Lytechinus pictus: one gene and its partner. The protein of the gene in region 2 interacts with the protein of the main gene of each other region in a pairwise test. Links are inferred from orthologs where the notes say so. Each region holds a gene or a part of one and is shown on either strand. Other genes may lie near its edges.

Region 1 (10,693 bases), on a different chromosome or scaffold from region 2:
GCCCCTTAACATGAGTATCACCTTCCCTCTTCATCAAGTGCCCTTTTAAAAATGGTTTTGCCTCTCTGGCCCGTATTCTGAAGTCAGGTTTAACTTAGACCATGGTCTAACTTTGTGCTAAAATTATGGGAAGCCAAATATGTCAAAATTATGTTTTCATAATTTCATTGAATGCTTCTAATGCAGAGCTGCCAACATTGGGATGATAGAATCCAGTAGATTTCGCGGAGGTATGATTTTGTGAGGGAGCGGCGGAACGTTGTCCCACGGATGGGAGTTTTGGGTAGCAAAACACATTAGGAAACAACATTTGATAGTAACCGACAGCTGTCTAAACCATCAAAAAAAATTCTGATAGATTAAATGCACATTAGAGAGAATTCATGAATTGTCATTGACTAAATATACACTTCAGGCAATATACAGTAGATTTTTTTTAATAATTCATAAAAGAATGAATTCAACATGAAAATACCTTTATAATTGGCCAGAGGGGGAAGGGGCTGCAGAAGTGGTAAACATGGTAAATGAGCTTTATATGTGGACTGTTTAAAGTCTCTGAGGGATTCCTGTGAAAATTGTCACACAGTCCCATTCTGCTTGAAAACTATCTTTATACTTCGACAAGTATTTTGTCGTCTTGGATGACTCCATCTCCATGATCTCCATGGTCACTGGCGATGCGATTGTAGTGTGGATGAATCGGGACGCACAGCTCAGCCAGCCAGCGCCAGGCTAGCTCACTCACGAAACTCGAAAGAGAAAATGTTCGAATCCGATCAACCCAAGTGAAAGTAGGCGAAAAAATCTCCACTTTGCTTCTAATTCTTCAAGATTGTCAATAAAATTATTCCTGAAATTGAAAGTCGAGGTGTAAAAAAGTAATCCACTTGTTAATCCCATCGTTGATCCACAGTTTCAGCTCGAATAAGGCGCACGCAAGCTTACGAAAAATGCCTCGCAGTGCTCGTGAACTTTAATTCTCGGAGCTTCCTGGCGCAGCGCGGCGGGCTGGAGCCGCGCCGGGGCGCATCGGGGGCCATGTGCATGGAGTACCGCTGAAGAGTTTTCATCACACACACATGCAGAACCCGGAAATAAAATGGCTTGTTAGACTACTTCACCAGTCGTTCAGTAAAATTATCTTTATTTACATGCGAAATTAATGTACGATTATACAAAAACTGGTAGAAGTTACTGGGTAAAATGAAAATGTGATAAGGTGGTTCCACGTTGGTGTTAGGGAGTTGAACATGCTAGACTCGTTAAACAGTCGTTTGTACGAATTTTACAATTTAACAGCTAAAAATCCTGATTATCCGGGAGATTTTGGCATGGGGTCGGGAGAACGGGAGATTGGATCGTAATCCAGTATTCTCCCGCAGGATCCGGGAGACTTGGAAGCTCTGCTAATGTTCACTGTGCTCTTTCCTAATTGCGTTATGGTGAAGACAACTATCTTATTCATCCTTCCCAGACAATTAAGAATTATTTGAGACTAAAATGAGCTGATACATTCAACCTCTACTTTTACAGAATTATGCGACAACTGGCTTCCCATAGTTAAACCACAAATTTAAACCAGAGTTTAAATTAAACCTGACTTCAGAATATGGGCCTCTGAATTCTTAATTCGAGCCCTGCATACATGTAACCCATGATGATCCAAGTAAAGTAAAACAAGCGTTCTGGAGAACGAGGCAGGAGGAAAGTTAGGAAATAATAAAAATTCAAGAGGAGAAAAGAGAAAAACAAAGGAGATGAACAAACTACATGTAGATTGAATAGATTCACATGATCTATCATGTGAATCTATTCAATCTACATGTAGTTTTTCTCTTTTCTCCTCTTGAATTTGTATTATTTCCTAACTTTCCTCCTGCCTCGTTCTCCTTCTTCTCTTGTTCTCCACCTCGTTCTTCTTTGTCTTGATTTTCTCCTCATTTTCCTAGTATTATTATCCTCCTCCTCCTATTTCACAACCTTATTATTGATTATCATGATTTATTTAAAGGTCAAGTCCATCCCAGAAAAATGTTGATTCGATTAAAAAGACAAAAATCAAACTAGCATAATGCTGAAAATTTCATCTAAATCGGATGTAAAATAAGAGTTATGGCATTTTAAAGTTTCGCTTATTTCCCACAAAACAGTTGTATTCACAACTCAGTGACATGCAAACAAGACAGTCGATGATGTCCCTCACTCACCATTTCTTCTTTTTTTATTGTTTCCATTATACAATATTTCATTTTTTACAGATTCAACAATAAGGGCCTACTTAACTGAACCATATAGTATTAGAATAATGCAAATTCCAGGTGTTCTGGGAGGAATTAATCTTTGTTTCACTTGACAATGAGGAGAAAATTAGAGTACTTCACATTTCATTTAATAAAATTGGGATTGCCTCAGTTTACAGGGACGGTCTCAGTTTTCAAAGATTTCTCCACACAAGAGAATAAGGAAGTTCAATCACCTGTCTAGTGCCAACACCAATCAGTGTGCTAGTCAATGTAAACATATATCAGGTTTCATGTTATATAATAATTAGTATATACTACTAATTATTTATAATTGCATATCAAATTTTAGTATTTGTGAAATAATAAATTTTATCTATAAATTGTTCTTCAAAACGGCATCGCTGATCGGATGTACGTCATGACGAAGCGGTTCAAGGGTCAGGCCTATTGTCTTTGCTTTGTTGACAAACGGATCGAGGGATCTACAGGAGATCGGTCTGGTAAGAAACGTCTCATTTTTACCATTTATAGTGAAATAATTTTTATCCCTTTATACGCATTAGGCGCATGAAGGTTCATAGATAAATAAAGTTCACCCCTACAAACCGATTTCACCCTCTAACTATGGATTTCCTAGGGAAATCCATCTTTGTGTACATGTGTCTCTTAATACTCATATTATTAATAGTATGGCCGGCGGTTCAAGACTCCATTTTGAAGTATATGTCAAAATATTTAAAAAACATCATCATGGAGTCCTCAAGACTAGGCTGCACGATCGTGAGCCATCTGTACTCTGTGTAAGACCTCTTAACTTTAGACTGTAAGACAAGAGGAGAAAAAAAAAAAAAAAAAAACAAATTTAAAACTCCTCAAAACAGACGGCTGCCGGCTGTCTAGCTAGTGCTACTGCTAGCGAATAGCAATCAAAATGACCTCTTGCCATCCTGAAATGAAAGTAATATAATCAAATTGCTAAAATTGTAAATACTAGTATAGTCACGTATTGTATCACCGGACACTATCATGATTCCGGACGCGCATATTACTGCGTTCTAAAACAAATTCGTACCATAAGACTTCCGCAATTCAATTTCACAGAGCAATACATAGAACAAGATTGCAAAAACAAGGCAAAAAATCCAACGTTTACCTAATTATCTCTAAAAATGACAGAAAATGCTTAAAATATCATATAACATAGTTTTGTATTAACAATTGATATATTTTCTAACGGATATATGGGCCTGATTTGCCGAATTTCAATCTTGTCCACTCCTTCGATCGAATGATGAGGTGTGGTGTATTGTGGGTGATCGTCGATGGCTAGTTCTCAAGGTACCCGTGCGCAAGGTTTACCGTGAGTAAAGCTAGAGCCGTCGATCGGCAGCGCATCGATAGAACTTGATGAGCGTCACGATCGAACGCGAGCATATTATTATTGGAAAGTGCCATGGAACATGCAGCTAACAAGACAAAATAAAATAAGTTATCAAACACGAATTTATTACCAACATCTGCTCAGATTCGATACAAAAAAAACAAATAGGGAGGCCTAATACTTAGATTTACTCATGATATGATATAAGAAGAAAAAAATCACACAAATTTGCTCTTACATCATTATAATCAAGGATATCTTTACCCGTCCGGCGCGCGTCCAGAATCATGATGTAATTTGTCGCGCATGAAAATAATTGTTTTTCGTGGAGGGGTATGCGGCAAGTGCGATGCAAAGGCAAAGCCAAAGAAAATGGTTGGTAAATATAAAATAATTTTATCATATTCATAATTTTCATATTTGGAATAGCAGGTGTGAATTTTTCTTGAATGTATTTCCTCTAGTTGTCATTTTTAAAGCACTGAAATAAAGGTGTCCGGCAATAGGATACACTGCCATACTTAAGCTAATAGTGCCAGTGCCTGGTTAGTCCAGTTCACAGCCCTGGGGCGGTATTCTGAGGTCATTTTATCTTTAAAATATTTTATTTTATCTCTTAAAATGAAATTGGTATTCTGAGATGACATTTTATCTCTCAGATAAAATTAAAAATTTTATCTTGAGTATAAATTTTATCTTGCGTATCTATGATGATACACAACAAAGCAGTGGCTGCGTAGACATACCCATCGCGTATCTGGCCATTGCAACGCGGGTGATGTGCTTGCGCCCAAGTTACTTTGAAGAAAAAAATAAAATAAACTTAAAAGAGGGTAAGGGCTATTTTATCTCCGCAACGTTGATTTCGTCGATATTTCTAGGTGAATTAACTCCAAATGTTAGCATGAAAATTAAGAAAAATGATATATTCATTGAGAACAACACCTTAAAGTTATTCCTGTACAATCAGGAAGCATTTCATAAGACTTTTCTTGACTAATATTGTCTTTGAAATGATGCTTGAAAAGATGCGATATAGACTTCGAAAAAAAGATGAGATTATTTCCATTTTTGTTAAAAAGAAATCTCTGTAAGGACGCGCAGGCGTATAGTGCAAGCGTATTGAAGTCAATAAATTGACGCAATCTCACTCCTTCGCCACACCTCCTAGCGGAATGGATTTCCATTGGTTGAGTGATATGAGAGAGCTATAAAAGCGCGTTTCTAATTGGATATTGATTAAAAAATAGGTGTGTCTTACAGAGATAAAATGGAGATAAAATTGTTCTCAGAATACCAATTCGGAGAGATTTTAAGGGTATTTTATCTCACTGATTTTAACGGAGATAAAATATTTTATTTTATCTGAGATAAAATGGATCTCAGAATACCACCCCTGAGCATGCAGGGTTGGAGCAACCCGGCGCCGGCCTGGCCCCGCAGGCGGACTACCGGAGTCCCGGCGGGGACAGCTGTCGAGTGTCGTAGCAAGTGCACCTTCGACCACGCTATTGCCGCTAGAAACATGAAAATATAGACTTTGCACTTCTTTAATCTAGTATTTCTAAATGTCAACATCTAACATTTTACCTAGATCTGGCAGACTTTACCGACAGAATACTAGAAAAAGGTGTAAATGAAATTTTAAAAACCTCACCACTGACAGAAACTGGCAAACAACAACGACCCACAACTACAAGCCACACCAATTTGCAATTTTTGCTCCGATGTAGTCGAATATTCGAAGCAATAATTCTAAAAAAGTAATACTTTTAAAATTAATGATAATAATAATAAAAACTTTAAAAATTTATGAAATATTTTTTATTTCATTATTTTTGCTGATATAAAATTTTCCTCTTCGTATTTTTTATTTGAAGATTTGTTTAATGTAGAGCGAGGACATTATTTCGTACAACAATGGCAGCTTCCTGTGATCAGGTTAGAATTTATTTTCATTATTTTTTGTCAGATACAATTAGTTCTGGTAGAGTAATTATCATCATGGCGTGCTAGTTATCTCTGTATAGTGTATTTTAGTAATAAATGTTGGTATTTGTGATGTTCATGTTATTGTTGATGGCCCTGGCTTCGGCATTCCTACTCGTCGCGATCGCGTCAACGTCCCAGAACCTCCGCAGATTTCATCTGTTCGAGGCGCAAGCCAGCCGCGCCGGGGAACTAGCGGCCCAGGTTCTGGTCATGATGAACACTGCTTTATTTCGGCGGGGGTACGAAAGTGCACTAGCGCCATACTAATCTAAAATCTGTCACCTCTCTTCTGTAAAGAGCATGACTGCTAACGTCTAACGATTTAAGTCATGTTTCACTATAATACTGTAAACAGGAGAAAAGGAAGTCTGCAGTGTTTTGGAGCAATTGAATTATAATACTATAAATCAGAGCTGTGACTCTTTTGTGAGCTGTGTGAGGTTTATCACAGGACAGGTGACTACACATCTCGCAACCCAGCCCCAGGCAGCATCACCAGCATGAGAGAAAAGCTAAAACACTATCCTCAAGACGACAAGTCCTGAACTTCTGAAGTTATCTTCCTTCTTCAAGGTGGTCGAGGGGTTGGTCCCAGCTAGCCTGGAGGCGTCTGGAGAGTAAAAATCATGGTACTATACGTACCCTCACTCTCCAAACGCCTGGAGCGGCTTAGTATGCCTCGCTATAGAGGCTAGGATTACCCAAAAAATTTAGGTCTAGTTTCACCAATTTCTATTTTTTGTGAATCGCCCAAACTTTTGTACATGGGCAAGTTTTATGTTTACCCCCATTTTTTATCAAATTTGTATATTTTTATTTCTTTATTATTCTTAAAATGGAAGAAAATTAAGAGCAAGAGTATTCACTTACCCCGTCTGTTTACGTCGCCATTTTGCAGTCTTTTGTTATCGATACCTAGATACCAAACGCGTGCAGAGCTGCAACTTAAATTTTAAAATTACTTGCATTTGCCGATTAATATCACGATTCATAAAATATTTGTTTCGGTTAATAAATATCATAAATTAATTTATGTGATATTTATTGATTAAAACAAATATTTTACGATTCCTGATATCTATCGGCAGATGCAAGTAATTTTTTAATCCAAGTTGGCAGCTCTACACTGTAGAGCTGCGTTTGGTATCTAGGTATCGATAACAAAAGACTGCAAAATGGCGACGTAAACAGACGGGGTAAGTGAATACTCTTGCTCTTAATTTTCTTCCATTTTAAGAATAATAAAGAAATAAAAATATACAAATTTGATAAAAAATGGGGGTAAACATAAAACTTGCCCATGTACAAAAGTTTGGGCGATTAACAAAAAATAGAAATTGGTGAAACTAGACCTAAATTTTTTGGGTAATCCTAGCCTCTATAGCGAGGCATACTAAGCCGCTCCAGGCGTTTGGAGAGTGAGGGTACGTATAGTACCATGATTTTTACTCTCCAGACGCCTCCAGGCTAGTCCCAGCCCTTCCTATTGAGAATTTCTTGACTAAAATAAGGCCAAAACGGAAAGTCAAAACAAAACAATTTAATGACTTTCAAGCACAGAATATCTTAGAAAGACAAGTACTAGTGAACCACAATAAAGGTTACACTATTCAATCAACAAACACTGAACAATTAAAACAATCTTTTTTGTGAGTACCCCTCTGGCTTGGAACCATCTCCCACCTGACTAGAGGTGTTCAAGTCAAAGATCGAAAAGAGCTACCTACGATACGACTAAATATCACCGTGCCTTCTCTCACCCGCTGCATTCATACCAATTGGTCCAGCAGTGTACACATCCTGATCCAGAATTAATACAATTTTTTTAGTTACAAAATAAAAAAGTTCAAGTTCGTCTTTATTTATTTAGGATCTATCAAAAGTATCATATAGACTATCAAAAATTTGTTTTGTTCACAACTTCAAGTCGATAAACGTGAAAAATGCCATATTAAACATATAAAGCCATTAAAAGTAGATCTAATACATCATTATAAGAAATCGAAAGTAAATACCCGTTTACATAAAGACTAAAGCCATAACCATAAAGTCAGAAGTGATAACATTAATTCCAAAAAGTTACTGTACTGCCTCCAAAGAGGTTTAAAATACATGTGTGTTATCAGCATTTCATTAAAGTTTAAAAATGTCCTTCCAATAAAAATAGCATGAAGTATTAGCATGTTAAATCCTAAAAGCTATACTGTTTTGCTGTCAAAAAAAATTAAATTAGATGTGTGTAATCATTTTATCACAAGCAGTCTAGCATTTCAAAAATTCATTCATTTCAAATTCATTGAAGCATGAAGTAATACAAAAATACCATGTTTTCCAATAAATGAACAGCATCTTTTTTCCCGCTTCATAATCTTGAAAAGTCAGTTGCGGTTTATCCAAAGAAACATTTAATTGTCATCAATAAGCTGACTTTAACTGTTAGGTTTCTTCATTGTTTGAATTTTCTGGAACAACCAAGAAACATAGAATGTTTAAAGGGAAATCCAACCCAAATAAAAGTTGTTTTATAAGGAAACAAAAAATCAGACAAGTTGATAGGTGAAAATTTGAACAATATTGGACAAACAACAAGAAAGTTATGAATTTTAAAAGTTGTAAATATTGGTAATCACTATACCCATGGAGACTTCAAATTGGCCGCATATGGGATGTCATAGTGATGTAAGGCAAGGACTACTATTCCATGTACTCCAATACATATTATGGCTAAAATGTCATTTTTCCAAAAAGTTTTATTTCAAATTATATTTTTCTTTCATGAGGACATACAACAATATACTACCTGGGTTATATTTAGATTACTGCCCCAGGGGAATGGGTACTTAGGAGAAAAACACAAATCCCTGATAATAAAGTACATGGCCTATGGGAAAGTTATCCTTGCCCCATGTCATAATTTACTTACGCAGTTGCCAATTTGAAATCTACATACATGTAGTATTAGTGATCTCAATTTTAAAGCAGCTATAACTTTCTTATTGCTTGTCCGATTTCTTTCAAACTTTCACCGTTCTGTTTGATTTATTTTTCTCCTTCCCAACACAACATTTTATGGCCAAGGCTGGATTCCCCTTTAATATAATTATTTGTTGGTTAATAAAACAATTAATTTTTGGTAAGACAGTCTTTATTGAAAAAATTCTTTATAAAGGTTGTTTTATTCATTTGATTACTATTGATTTAATGTTTTTCTTTAAAAAAAAACCTGGTTGTTTTGTGATGAAATTGAAAACTTGTTTTTTACAGCTAAAACTGCATGGAAAATGCTCTACAATTTGCATGTAATCGTAATCGGTTATAAAAAAAATGCAATAAATTATGTCCTTTTTTCTTCATTTATTTTCCACCTTTTTCTCTCAACAATTTTTTTTTTTACTTTTTCCCTTTTCATACTGTAACTTTGATATTCAATACTGCCATTTCATGATCTTTTTTCTTTATTCTACAAAGAAATAATTTATATTCTTCGAAAAATAAAAAAATTTAAAAAAGTTTTTTAAAATACCAAAATTAATGATATACATGTACAATGTATCGTCTGATCTTTGAATGATTAATCAGTAAAAATGTTATCACCTGCCAATATTTTTTTAACCACCAGATTTTTGGGCTGCTGTTTATTTTCTGGAAATTATGGTAGTTACATCATATATTGTGCCTATGTAAGACATAAAAACACCACTTTTTGCTTTGGATTTTCTTGAAATTCATGCATTAAATGGCAAAAATAAATACTTTTTTTTTTTAAATATTGTCCGAGACTGATAGTGATACTAGTCCACTAGTCTACAAGTAGTAGCAGATCTAGTAAAAATGTAATTATGAAATGGTGATCACAAAGTTCCGAAATTACTTTCTTAAAATTTCTGTAAATTTTATGTAATTTTCATCGTTATGAGGATTATTTTGATATATTTTTTATGGCAAATTATGAGCTTTCTAAATATTTTTGTTGTACAAACATATGTACCTATGCATGTATTGTAAGGAGGGTTGGGCTAAATTACAAGGTAATTGATCCATTACATTAATTTAATTTAATTTTGTAAGTAATTGTAATTGTATTTGGAAATTTTGAAAGGGAAAGTAATTATAATTGAAAAAAATGTAATTGGACTTCAATTACTGTCAATTACTTTTAATTACATCAATTACTTTACAATAAATTACTTAATTTATGATTTGATTTCATGACTTTTTACATGTCAACTGATTCAGCATCAAAGAGTGTAATAGGCAGAATCCACGCTCTTTAACTTGTCAGTTTCTTTGTAACTTAGAATTGTGTTGAAATACATGTACATGTAGGTGGTGTTAGTAGATATAGATAATCATACAGAATACAAATTTATTTCATTTATGAATTTTGTAGAAAGTATTTGAAATTGTAATTGACAAAAGTAATTGGTTATTTTAATTGACGAAAAAATGTAATTTAATTGAAAAGTAACTTGTGTAATTGTAATGGAAGAAAGTAATTAAGCCCAATCCTGATTGTAAGTGTAAAGTTTGTGGTTGTTGCATTTCTCCTTTTATTAGAATTGAAACTTTATGCTCTAGAAAATCTAAAAAAATGTACATGTATCTTCCAGTACTGCAATTGTGAGCAGAAGTTTGCTGATGGGATAATAAGTAATAACGCATTTTATATTTCCTGAATTTTGCTGCTCCAAATCTGAAGCATGTTGCTTGAAAGTCATATTCTGATACAGGGCATTAACCATCAAAAAACCAATACCAAGAAAACTGTTCCTTTGACTGTAGATGGTCAGATACACCTTGGTACATGTAGTTGCGATACATGTAGTGTCAAATCACCTGTATGTTCTCATAAGAATTAAGATGCACTTAATCTTACAGTGTAAGTCAACAAATCTTGTTCATTCAAAGAAAGAATCGGGTTGAATATCCATCAATAATAGGTCCACGCTTTGACAATCGATTTATTTATTTGTTTATTTTACAGGAGGCAGCAGAAGCTACGTTTTTAAAGAAGTACACCCACATTGATTTGATTGGAACATGAGTTCAATAACATTAACAGTATTTTTTGTTG
Region 2 (10,481 bases):
AACTCAGACAACACGTGGACATCTATGCAAATTGTATGTGAAGAGAAGCAGACTGGATGTTAGAAAAAATACTTTCAGTGCCAGAGTTGTAAATGACTGGAACTCCTTGCCGGCAGAGATAGTTACTGCATCAACCTTGAACAGATTCAAGTCACAGTTAGACAAGTTTTGGTCTGCAGTGCAATATACTCACCCTTGGGAATAGTAACTCTGGCACAGCACACAGGCACACGTTATTTTAATAGTTAGATGGAGATAGCAACAGTGATAGACCTGGAAACACGACTGCATAAGTAATTGCATTTTTCCAGTAGATCCGGTAATAAAGGTAATAAAGGTAATAAAAAAAATCGCACCGAAATAAAAAATCGCCAAAAATTCAAAACGCGAGTGATTACGAACTCGCACGCGACGCGAGTGATTATAAACTGCCTGTAGCGGCCGGTAGGTAGTGAAGTGGAGCCTGCACAAACTTCGCTCGATCTCAAGGTAGGTATTAATTATAACCTCGTTCGTACTCGTAGCCGTAGGATGAGTGGTAATACTAATACTTAATAGGATACACTGCATTGGCATACCATAGTCCTACCTGTAGATTCCCCACAGGCAGGATGGTTGCAGTGAGCAAGTGGGCCGAGTCGCCCCGAGGGCCAGGGCCGCAACCAACTTCATTCAAACTCCGCGGGCTTCACTCAACTTCGAACCGCTTTATAGTTATACTACCGGTATAGACCACTGGCTAGCGTTAAATAGGTTCTTGAAAGGTTCTAGAGCAATGCTTTCCGCGATGATCAATACAATAAACAATCATTACTTACAGATCTTCAAAAATTTCGAGGACTTTTCCATGAGACTTTATATCAGCAAGTTCCATGACTTCTGAAATGAAGTTCTGTGACTTGTGAGATCGAGATCATCGGAGTATAGCTCCCTATATCCGGCGTATGAGATAGGCCTGAAGATATCGACAGTTAACGTCAATTATAGTAGGATGGGGGTCGGGTGTCCGGACACTTTATATTTTGAAGCCGAAGTTGTCTTTGGATTACACTAAAACTATTAATTCAATAGTTCTAATCATCTTCTATTTTGTTCTTCATAATATTTCCTAACATTTTGTACTAAAAATTGATGAAATTTCGCTTGTAAATTTTTCCAAATGACTTTCTAACAACTGGGTGCACTAAACAGTAAAGATTATGTGCCTTTTAGAAGAAAAATGTTTTGTATTTCATTTTAAAAATTGACATAAAATAGAGAGTCAAAAGGGGCCTAATTAAGCTTTCGATCCTAGCAGAATCTTCGTCGGAGGCAAAATGACAAACATATAAAGTGATATATTATACAGAAAAACTCAAAAAGACCATCACTTTAATAAAAATAAATATAACCTTTTTCAAATATTATAATTATATTGATTACAGTGAATGATTTTCATTAACTCGTTAAACTCCATTTCTCTCAATATATCCTAAATCAGGGCCGTAGCCAGGATTTTCTATGAGGGGGTTCCGAATTATAAAGAGTGAACCTCCTCAGGACAAATCTAGCTTTCGCAAATACGGGGGGGGGGTGGTTAATTTAAAAAAAAATCATCTACATTTTCCCCGATCAGCCGCTTTAAATAATGCAGACATGCAATATCATTTTTTAATCTTCAGTTTATGTATTCTGATAAATGAACGCTCCACAGATTTTGGTACTGGTGATCAATGGGGATCTAAGTAACTTAGATCTAAACAATTAATGCGGGCGCAAAGCGCGAGCTCAAACTTGTAGCTAGTATACTAATTAATCCGAAAATTGTTTAGAACTGTTATGGAGAAGGTACTTATCTCACCAACCAATTAATGCGAAAACAATGAATATGTTTAATATATTCTGACATGAAAACCTAAAGCAAGGTTTCCACTTTGGCGAGTTAACATCGCGAGTTATGGCGAGTTATAGCGAGTTGCCAAAATGAGGCACTCGCGATAACTCGCATAAAGCTCACCATGAAACTCGGGATAACTCGCGACAACTCGGCGGAGCTCGGCGGAGCTCATTCAAGCTCGGGACAACTCTCCTTGAAGTCGTGAGCTGTTTCAAAATTTTTGAACATGTTCAAAAATTTTGCTAACTCGCTGTAACTCGTGCTGAACTCACCTAAACTCGTTATATACTCGCAGTACTCGCAATAACTCGTAAGAAGCTCGAGATAAACTCACAATAACTCGTAATAACTCGCCACATCTGAGTATACGCGAGTGCGTTCCGAGTTTTCAAGAGCGATATACGAGCATTGCGATCGTTTTACGAGTCAAATGGAGGTGCCCACGAGATTAGCGCGACTTTAGATCGAGCACCCCGAGTTACAGCGAGTTTCGTATGAGTTTATTCCGAGTGCGTTGCAATTGCTCAGAGGCATGCCAGCTGAATGATAAATGTCCAGTGATCTATATTTTCCCCACATATAAACCCCTCAAAAAAAGTTTGGAAATCTGATTTTGGGCATTAATTTCTCCCAACTCCAAAATTTACACATTGCATATTATTTTGACATCATTTAAAAGGTCATGAAATTTTCTTTACAATGATACCATGCTTGTTATGATCATGCCATTACGAAAAGAGCAGGATTCAAAAGTGTTGGATAAAGTCTGAATTGAAAAGCTGCAAAACGAGCAAAAAGGTTTGGAAATCTGAGTTTGGCCATTACTTTATCCCGACTCCAAATTTTACACAATGCATATTTGATATATTTTAAAAGATCATTTGATTCTCTTTAAAATGATCCCATGCTTGTTATGATCATGCCATCAAAAAAGAGCAAAATTAATAAGTGTTGGATGAGGTCTGAAGTAAAAAGCTGCAAAACGAGCAGAAGTAATCATGAAGGGTCAATACAGAACATGATTTTTTTGTCTGTGTCAATAAAGATGAAAATCCATTCAAATCAAACCCCTGCTTTTTCATTTCATAATGTTTTGTTGTGGTTTATGTTTGTTTGTTGTGTGTTTGCTTGTGCAGAGGTGTGTTTGATTCCATTTGAATGTTGATGTTAAGGTGCATGAAAACAATTGCTGAGAATCTCACTCATCATCATGGAAGAAAAGAACAGTGACTTTCAATATTGTGTCATTTTGCAAATTTTGAATTTTGACCTTGCCCCGCATTTCAAGGCACTGCACCTCCATGTGAGCCAAAATCATATCATGGAAAGTATCTTTTTAAAGAAAATTAAATGATCTATTCATTGATATTAATTCAACATTGATATTTACTAAAACCGAGGCGGGATTACCAATCAAACTCAAAAGAAACCGCTTAAAATACTCACTCATCACCACGGAAAAAGGAACAGTGACTTTCAATATTGTGTCTCTTTGCAACTTAATTTTGAATTTTGACCTTGCCCTACATTTCAAGGCACTGCACCTCCATGTGAACCATAATCATATCATGTAGGGTATCATTTTAAAGACACTTAAATGATCTATTCATTGATATTAATAACAATTGATATTTACTAAAACTGAGGAGGGAGTTTTGATTAAAGTCGGATTTCCAAACTTTTTTTGAGGAGTTTATTTTAAAGTGAGAGCACATTTTAACTGACCCACGCAATGTACACGTACTTTTAAAAAGGCTGTTTCCACTGCATTATTACAACTTTCAAAAAATAAGGAGAGAAATATGCCTCGATCCAAAAGATCCAAGAGTTGTGGCCATTCAGATAGGGAAACAGCGAAAGAAGATGACATTCAAACAAGGGTAGAAGAAGTGCAGGAAGAGACAATTGAAACGGAAGAGGAGGTCAATGATGAGCATGCAGAGCCAAGGTAAAAGAACAAGACATCAAACTAGACAATTAAGGTCCAAGTGGAGCGCCTCTGGCAGTCTCACCTGCATCACGCTATCCAATATAGAAGTAGTGCTGACTCTGAAAACTATTATAAAATAATTATTCACAAAAACACCATTCATACATTGATACAATACTACGTTCATTGACAATAAATGACATTTGACCTTTATCATGTGACCTAAGACTTGTCAGTGATACTAGATTACCCCTATATCCACATTTTATAAACTGTATCTAAACTTTGAAAGTTATGACAGCAATATAGTATTAATCTCCAAAATGGCCAAAGTTCAATAACCTTAAATGACCTTTGACTTTGGTCATGTGACCTAAAACTGGCATGAAATGTTCGGTGATACTTGACTACTCTAATATCCAAGTTGATGAATCATATCCATAAGCTTTCAAAGTTATGATGGTAATTCAACAAATACCCCCAACATGGCCAAAGTTTATTGACCTTAAATGACCTTTGACCTTCGTCATGTGACCTGAAACTCGCACAGGATGTTCAGGAATACTTGATTACTCTTATATCCAAGATTCATGAATCAGATCTATAAACTTTTAAAGTTATGATGGTAATTCAACAGATCACCCGAACATATCACTAAAGTTCATTGACCTTTGACCTTGGACATGTGACCTGATATCCGCACAGGATGTTTAGTGATACCTGATTACTCTTATGTTCAAGTTTCATGAATCAGATTCATAAACTTTCAAAGTTATAATGTTAATTTAACAAATACCCCAATTGGCCAAAGTCCATTGACCCTAATTGACCTTTGACCTTAGTCATGTGACTTGAAACTCAAGCAGGATGTTTATATACTTTAATAACCTTATGTCCAAGTTTCATGAACTAGGTTCATATATTCTTTAAGTTATGATGACATTTCAAAAACTTAACCGTTAAGATTTTGATGTTGATTCCCTAAACATGGTCTACGTTCATTGACCATAGATGATCTCTGACCTTGGTCTTGTGACCTGAAACTCGAGAAGGATGTTTTGTAATGCTTGATAAACCTTATGGTCAAGTTTCATGAACTAGGTCTATATACTTTCTAAGTTATGATGCCATTTCAAAAACTTAACCTTCGGTTAAGATTTGGTGTTGACGCCGCCTCCGCCGGCATCCATCTTTGAGTGCCAAAAATGTGCATTTCCCGCCCCTTGGTCGTATGAAACTCTTATCACTCGTAACAACATCTTTATAACTCGTTCATAGCTCGCTTTAAGTCGTATAAAGGTCACCGCAACTCATACTAAGCTCGGCCTGACTCGTTTCGCGCTCGGTTCACTCGTACAACGAGCGTAGTGAACTCGATGTTGAGTCGTTTGTCACTCAAGCAAATTCCAGGGGAAAATGTAAATTTCACGCGAGCTTGTGCGAGCTAAGGCGAGTTAGAGCTCGCGCAGCTCGCGTATGACTCGCAACTCCAACTCGCCAAAGTGGAAACCTTGCTTTAAGCCTTTTTTGTATCAATGATAGTGAAATAAAAAATTGATGCGAGCGAGAGGCGTGAGCTGAAATCTGTACTATGTATACTGACCCCAAAGCATGAAAAGGGACCTGTCAATGACTGTTTGTGAAACGCGAGCTGTTTAAGGTTTGAACTTTCTATTCACTTTTTTGATAATCATGAAAAGGATGGGTGTCTTGCTACAGAAATGATTCGAGCACTAAACGCGAGCTGAACATTTTGGTATTCCGATCTAAACTTCGGACATTTGAAGCACGCTATTTAATAAAGAACGAGTGTCGTATCTCAGATTCTTAATAACCAAAATTTATGCGAGTGTGAAGATCGAGTTAATCAAGTTAAGCACTGTTTAATTTAACATCAATTAAGAACCATTGCGACGCAGGCATAGGGGGCGGAAGCAACTTATATATATATATATATAAATAAACTGTTGGAACTAAGTACAATGCATTACCACTTTGCCTCATTAATATCTTCTATGTCCAACACGCGGAACGTAATATCGTTAGATGAGGCGAGGCCAATTAACTCAACAGATGACGCAGGACACCATTATTTGCTTTAGCTTTCGTCTTTTAATTGAGACTTCGTCAGAAGCGTCTGAAAAATATAAGGAGATACAACATCCAAGTTTGTTTTGCACAAACTTGGATGTTGTATCTCCTTATATTTTTCAGACGCTTCTGACGAAGTCTCAATTAAAAGACGAAAGCTAAAGCAAACAATGGTGTCCTGCGTCATCTGTTGAGTTGGCCTCGCCTCATCTCATTATGTTTAATATTCACAACTCAACAGCGATTGGTAGAAGTAAACTTATCATCACACTATATATATTTATTTATTTTTTTTTTTTTTTGGGGGGGGGGGAGCAAGTGCTAGAATTTCTCTGATCACTTTACGATATCACCTCTTAATTTAGTGATACCATACACATTTTGAACTGAAATTCTTGATACTTTCAGCCATTACCGGTGTCAGAAGTTTTGTGTGAATCTCCTGCTCTCTTCTTTCATATTTTCCAATAAGCAAGTCGTTTTAATCTTCCTTTACAAAACAATTTGTAGTAAGTACAGTTATGTTAATCTGAATATGTAGTTCTACTAAAAATTGTAGCTCATTTCCTTGTAGTATAGATCTAAATCTATGTCTGCGACAAGAGCCGAGACTCGCGAGAGGTGTCCCACATGTAGAATTCTGCGTAGGCCTAATTTGGCAAAACTAAGTGCCCGCAGGCGAATTGCGCATTCAGCATGCAACGTAAAATACTAATAATTAGATGGACAATATAAATTTTATTTGCACAAGTATTGTGCAATTTTATTGCTCCCTGATTCATCACTACCCTATCATGCCTATAATCCAATTCCATCAGGACAATGTTGGCGAGATTAGACTAGACAGCTGGCGGCCGTCTGTTTCGGGGAGTTTTGTTAACATAATAACAATAACATTTTTTTTTTTCATTTCTCGTACACAGATGAGATGGCTCACGATCGTGCAGCCGCCAATAGGGGTTAAAAATGCAAAATCCCCCCTGATCGGGCTCATCGATTTTTGTCTTTATTTCATAAACATATGATAATTTTGATATAGGGCCTAGGCCTAATTAAAAAGAACTTGACCAAAATAAAGTCAAAGATTATATTCTGTTTTGGCCTGAAATGCACCAAAACAGGAAAAAAAAAATTTAAAAGGAAAAACAGTGACTTACTTCGGCTGTCGCGCAACTCCCACTCCCTGGTTTATCCAAACTTAATACTTAAACATATGGCCATTGACTCTATTGAGTCCCTGTGCAAATCGAGTTAGAACTTCGGTCTCTAATTGGTGATGGAGCCAACGTAGTTCAGCGGAACAACCAATATAACAGAGAGTGTAAAAAAGTGTAAAAATAAAAACTTTTGTCAGGTGAAAAGAATTATTTTGTAGCATATTTTAGATCACAAGTTTCACCTACATTACAAAGTCTTGAAATAAATTCAAACACATGAACTGAAAGAGTGATTCTTCTCTTCAATAATCCCCAAATCATGAAATTTGATAAATATTTAGAGCAGCAATTACTGAATTAAAAGAGGTGAGAACTAGATATATTTGTTGACCCCCCCCCCTGACGATATGATAGATATAGTTTTCTTTATTTGCTAGGATAGTCATCCTCATTCTATACCGCCTTGCCACACTCAGTCTACTCTGTACTTAATTTTTTTGTCATACATGCATACTTTTTGTTTGTTTTTATTAATCTTTGCCACTACTTTCTTCATCTTTCTGGCCCAATCCTCTCTTGGTTCTTCTATCTATATCTCCTTTTAATTACCCTTTCCCCTTACTCACTTTTTCTCTGCCTGTCTCCCTATGCCGTCTTTATCCTTCCCCGTCTTCTCTTTTCTAATATATTTTTATTCATGCATGTACAATTGCCTCATTGTAGTGGTTATAATTTGCATACTTAATATTTATAATGTTCAATACAATGTATGATTTTATTTACTTTCAACAATTTATTTCCTTGTATTATAATAAGAAGTACTAGTAATTGTATTCAATTTATATCATTTCATGTTTGTACTAAAGTATTACTCTGTTATTGTAAATTGTACACATGTTTTTATTCAGCCTTTGGCTGCGAGGCATGTTTTAATAGACCATTATTGAAACGAATTGAAAAAAAAGGTGTTTGGTCCCCATCAAGCTCATTAAATACGCAAAACCTCTCTAGTCATGAATATCACTTGGATGAGAGAAGCCACTTTTTGAGACCTGCCTACTGACTGCCTTGCCTGCAAATCTACATGTAGATCTATCTATGGTATGCCAATGCAGTACACAGCACACAAAAAATGTCATTAAAATATCACTTTTGTGACTAAAAATACCAATTTCAATACAGTTAAGTTGCAATTTATTTTTCATAAGTAACCTGGGAATCATTTTTGTATTCTCCAGAGTGCTCAAATACTTGAATTTTTGGGCATATTTTTTTTTTTTTTGTGGAAAGTAAAGTTGCAAGAAAATTGTCATTTTTCAATCTCTATTTTTAATTTAGAAAAAAATATTAAAAGAATTCAATTTACTTCAGAGCCAAGTTATATGATGAATAGCTGTAATGGAAACTGACGTTGTCAAAAAATCAAGCATTTATCCCCAAGAACAATAGAAAATAAGCCAAACATTGCCAACCTTGTTTCACCAAACAGTGCATAGTAACAAAACAAGGTTATATCATTACCTTGTTCATTGAATGAGTGCACATACAGTATGGTATCCAAGTTTACTGTGACAATATTTCTAATAAAATTCCGCATTTTGATAGTAGTGGGGAGCAGACTTACGCCTATTTGTACATATTGTGGAAGTCTTTTATGTGAATGATATGTTCTAATCATGACAATATGTATATTTTTCTTGCAAGGTTCTATTAGAGGATCATTCAGTTTATAGCCTATAAACATTCAACAGAGAGTAAGACAGATGGCAGCTCATCCAAGAAGCAGAGATGAAATCTTCAAAAGTTTTGTGGAAAATTTGCAACTTGTTGTTGACAAATTAACAGGTAAAGAGCAGTTTGAAAGGTATTAATATCCCTTTTCCTTGACATTATGTGAGTGGGTTTATTTCATAGGGGAAAAAAGTAGGGAAAGGATGAAAGTACTTCTTTTCCTCACAACAGAAGGTTGGTCGGTCGGTGCAATGGAAAACTTGATCAACTGAGAAATCGCGTTGATATGGGCTCAACACTATGGCTAATATTAGATATCATTCTAACCAAATTAGAAAAAAGTGTTATTTACCCCATTCTTAATGATTGCGGGTTGAAATTTAACTGTGGATACTTCAAGGTGTACTTTGTTCTGATTAGATTACCTTCATATTTCACTTGTGAGAGTCAAATTAAAGTCTCTTCATCCTTCTCTTAATTTTACCCATGAAGAATCTATTGATGATAATTATGTTCACTTCCTTCATTCTATAATGTTTCACTAAACTTTTTTTCATTGTTTTCATCTAATTCAGAGGATGTGCCTTCTAGGGATGCTGCAGAATTTAATTTGGCTGAATATTGGATCAAAATGGGTAGGTTATTCAGCTGAAGAACTGTAGATCAAGGTTGATATTTGATGTCATCTGGCTATAGGGTACCAAAGTGTGATGTTATCAAGTTTCATTTATTGCATTTTGGCTTTTTTGATTCCATATGTGAAAAACATTGACGCACCAACTTTTTTGGGAATCGGGTCATGGTGCTCCAAGGTATGACCTGGTACATAATTGTTGGAACTAAGCCAATTTACATTGATTCCAATGGGGTTAATTAGGCATTCATATGACCACATCTTGGGCTCCCTGGCCCGATCCCCTTCCAAATTTGGGCTGTGGGGGTTTTTTAATCATGCTCCGCCGAGATATGGTATTAAAATGCTGAAATGCAAAAATATATATATATTTTTAATTTTTTTTGTGATATCATTACTTTGGTATTCTATTGCAGTTGAAGATGGTTTAAATTTTTAAGTACTTCTTTCCATTTAAATCACTAAGGATAAACTGTGCAAGCTTTCGTTCTTACCTAAAAATTTTCATAGAGATAAGCATTTTAGGTTTGACTGTAAATGTGTTTGACTCAAGGAAAAAAAAAATCCTGACAACCATAACGTTAAATCCAACGCAATCTAACACTCAAAATATCTGTTGTATAACAAGATGAACTAAATGTAGTAAGAGAAACAATTCAGGCAATTTCTCAATTATAGATCTACCTTTGAATATAAGAGTCTAGCTTGTCTGCATTCCCTGGAACTTGAGAATGTCAGGCTTGCCTGTGTTTTTTTCTCATTACTTTGATGGTGCTTTTCTGACTAAGATGGGAAAGTAAATTAAAAAATTAGGGGGAAACAAAAAACCTTACAGAATTTGAAAATGCTATTTGCATAGATCTGTCCATCATGCAAACCTATCACACTAATGTGTTAAAAAATTTGGACAGTACAAATACAAACAACCTCGGATCATTCTTTGTTCGGCAGAGACCAAGTAATCACTTTTCCTGTTGGTCCATTGGTCTGCTAGTCTCTTGATCTTTTAAAAAATGTTTAAAGGGGAAGTTCACCCTGAATAAATGTTTATTATAAAAATAG

Evidence for each region.
Region 1: the proteins of cyclin-D1-binding protein 1 homolog (region 2) and pre-mRNA-splicing factor SYF2-like interact in binary tests that used the Homo sapiens proteins (3 or more experiments, as listed by UniProt). The link is inferred for Lytechinus pictus from reciprocal best matches to the Homo sapiens genes CCNDBP1 and SYF2.

What each region holds. Positions count from the first base shown.
Region 1 is NC_087248.1:5,521,192-5,531,884, reverse strand, and holds the start of pre-mRNA-splicing factor SYF2-like, read left to right. Parts: upstream 1-5,496; 5' UTR 5,497-5,547; coding exon 5,548-5,568; intron 5,569-10,693. UniProt on the Homo sapiens protein: Involved in pre-mRNA splicing as component of the spliceosome.
Region 2 is NC_087246.1:67,687,680-67,698,160, reverse strand, and holds the start of cyclin-D1-binding protein 1 homolog, read left to right. Parts: upstream 1-6,269; 5' UTR 6,270-6,406; intron 6,407-8,758; 5' UTR 8,759-8,817; coding exon 8,818-8,899; intron 8,900-9,360; coding exon 9,361-9,420; intron 9,421-10,481. UniProt on the Homo sapiens protein: May negatively regulate cell cycle progression. May act at least in part via inhibition of the cyclin-D1/CDK4 complex, thereby preventing phosphorylation of RB1 and blocking E2F-dependent transcription.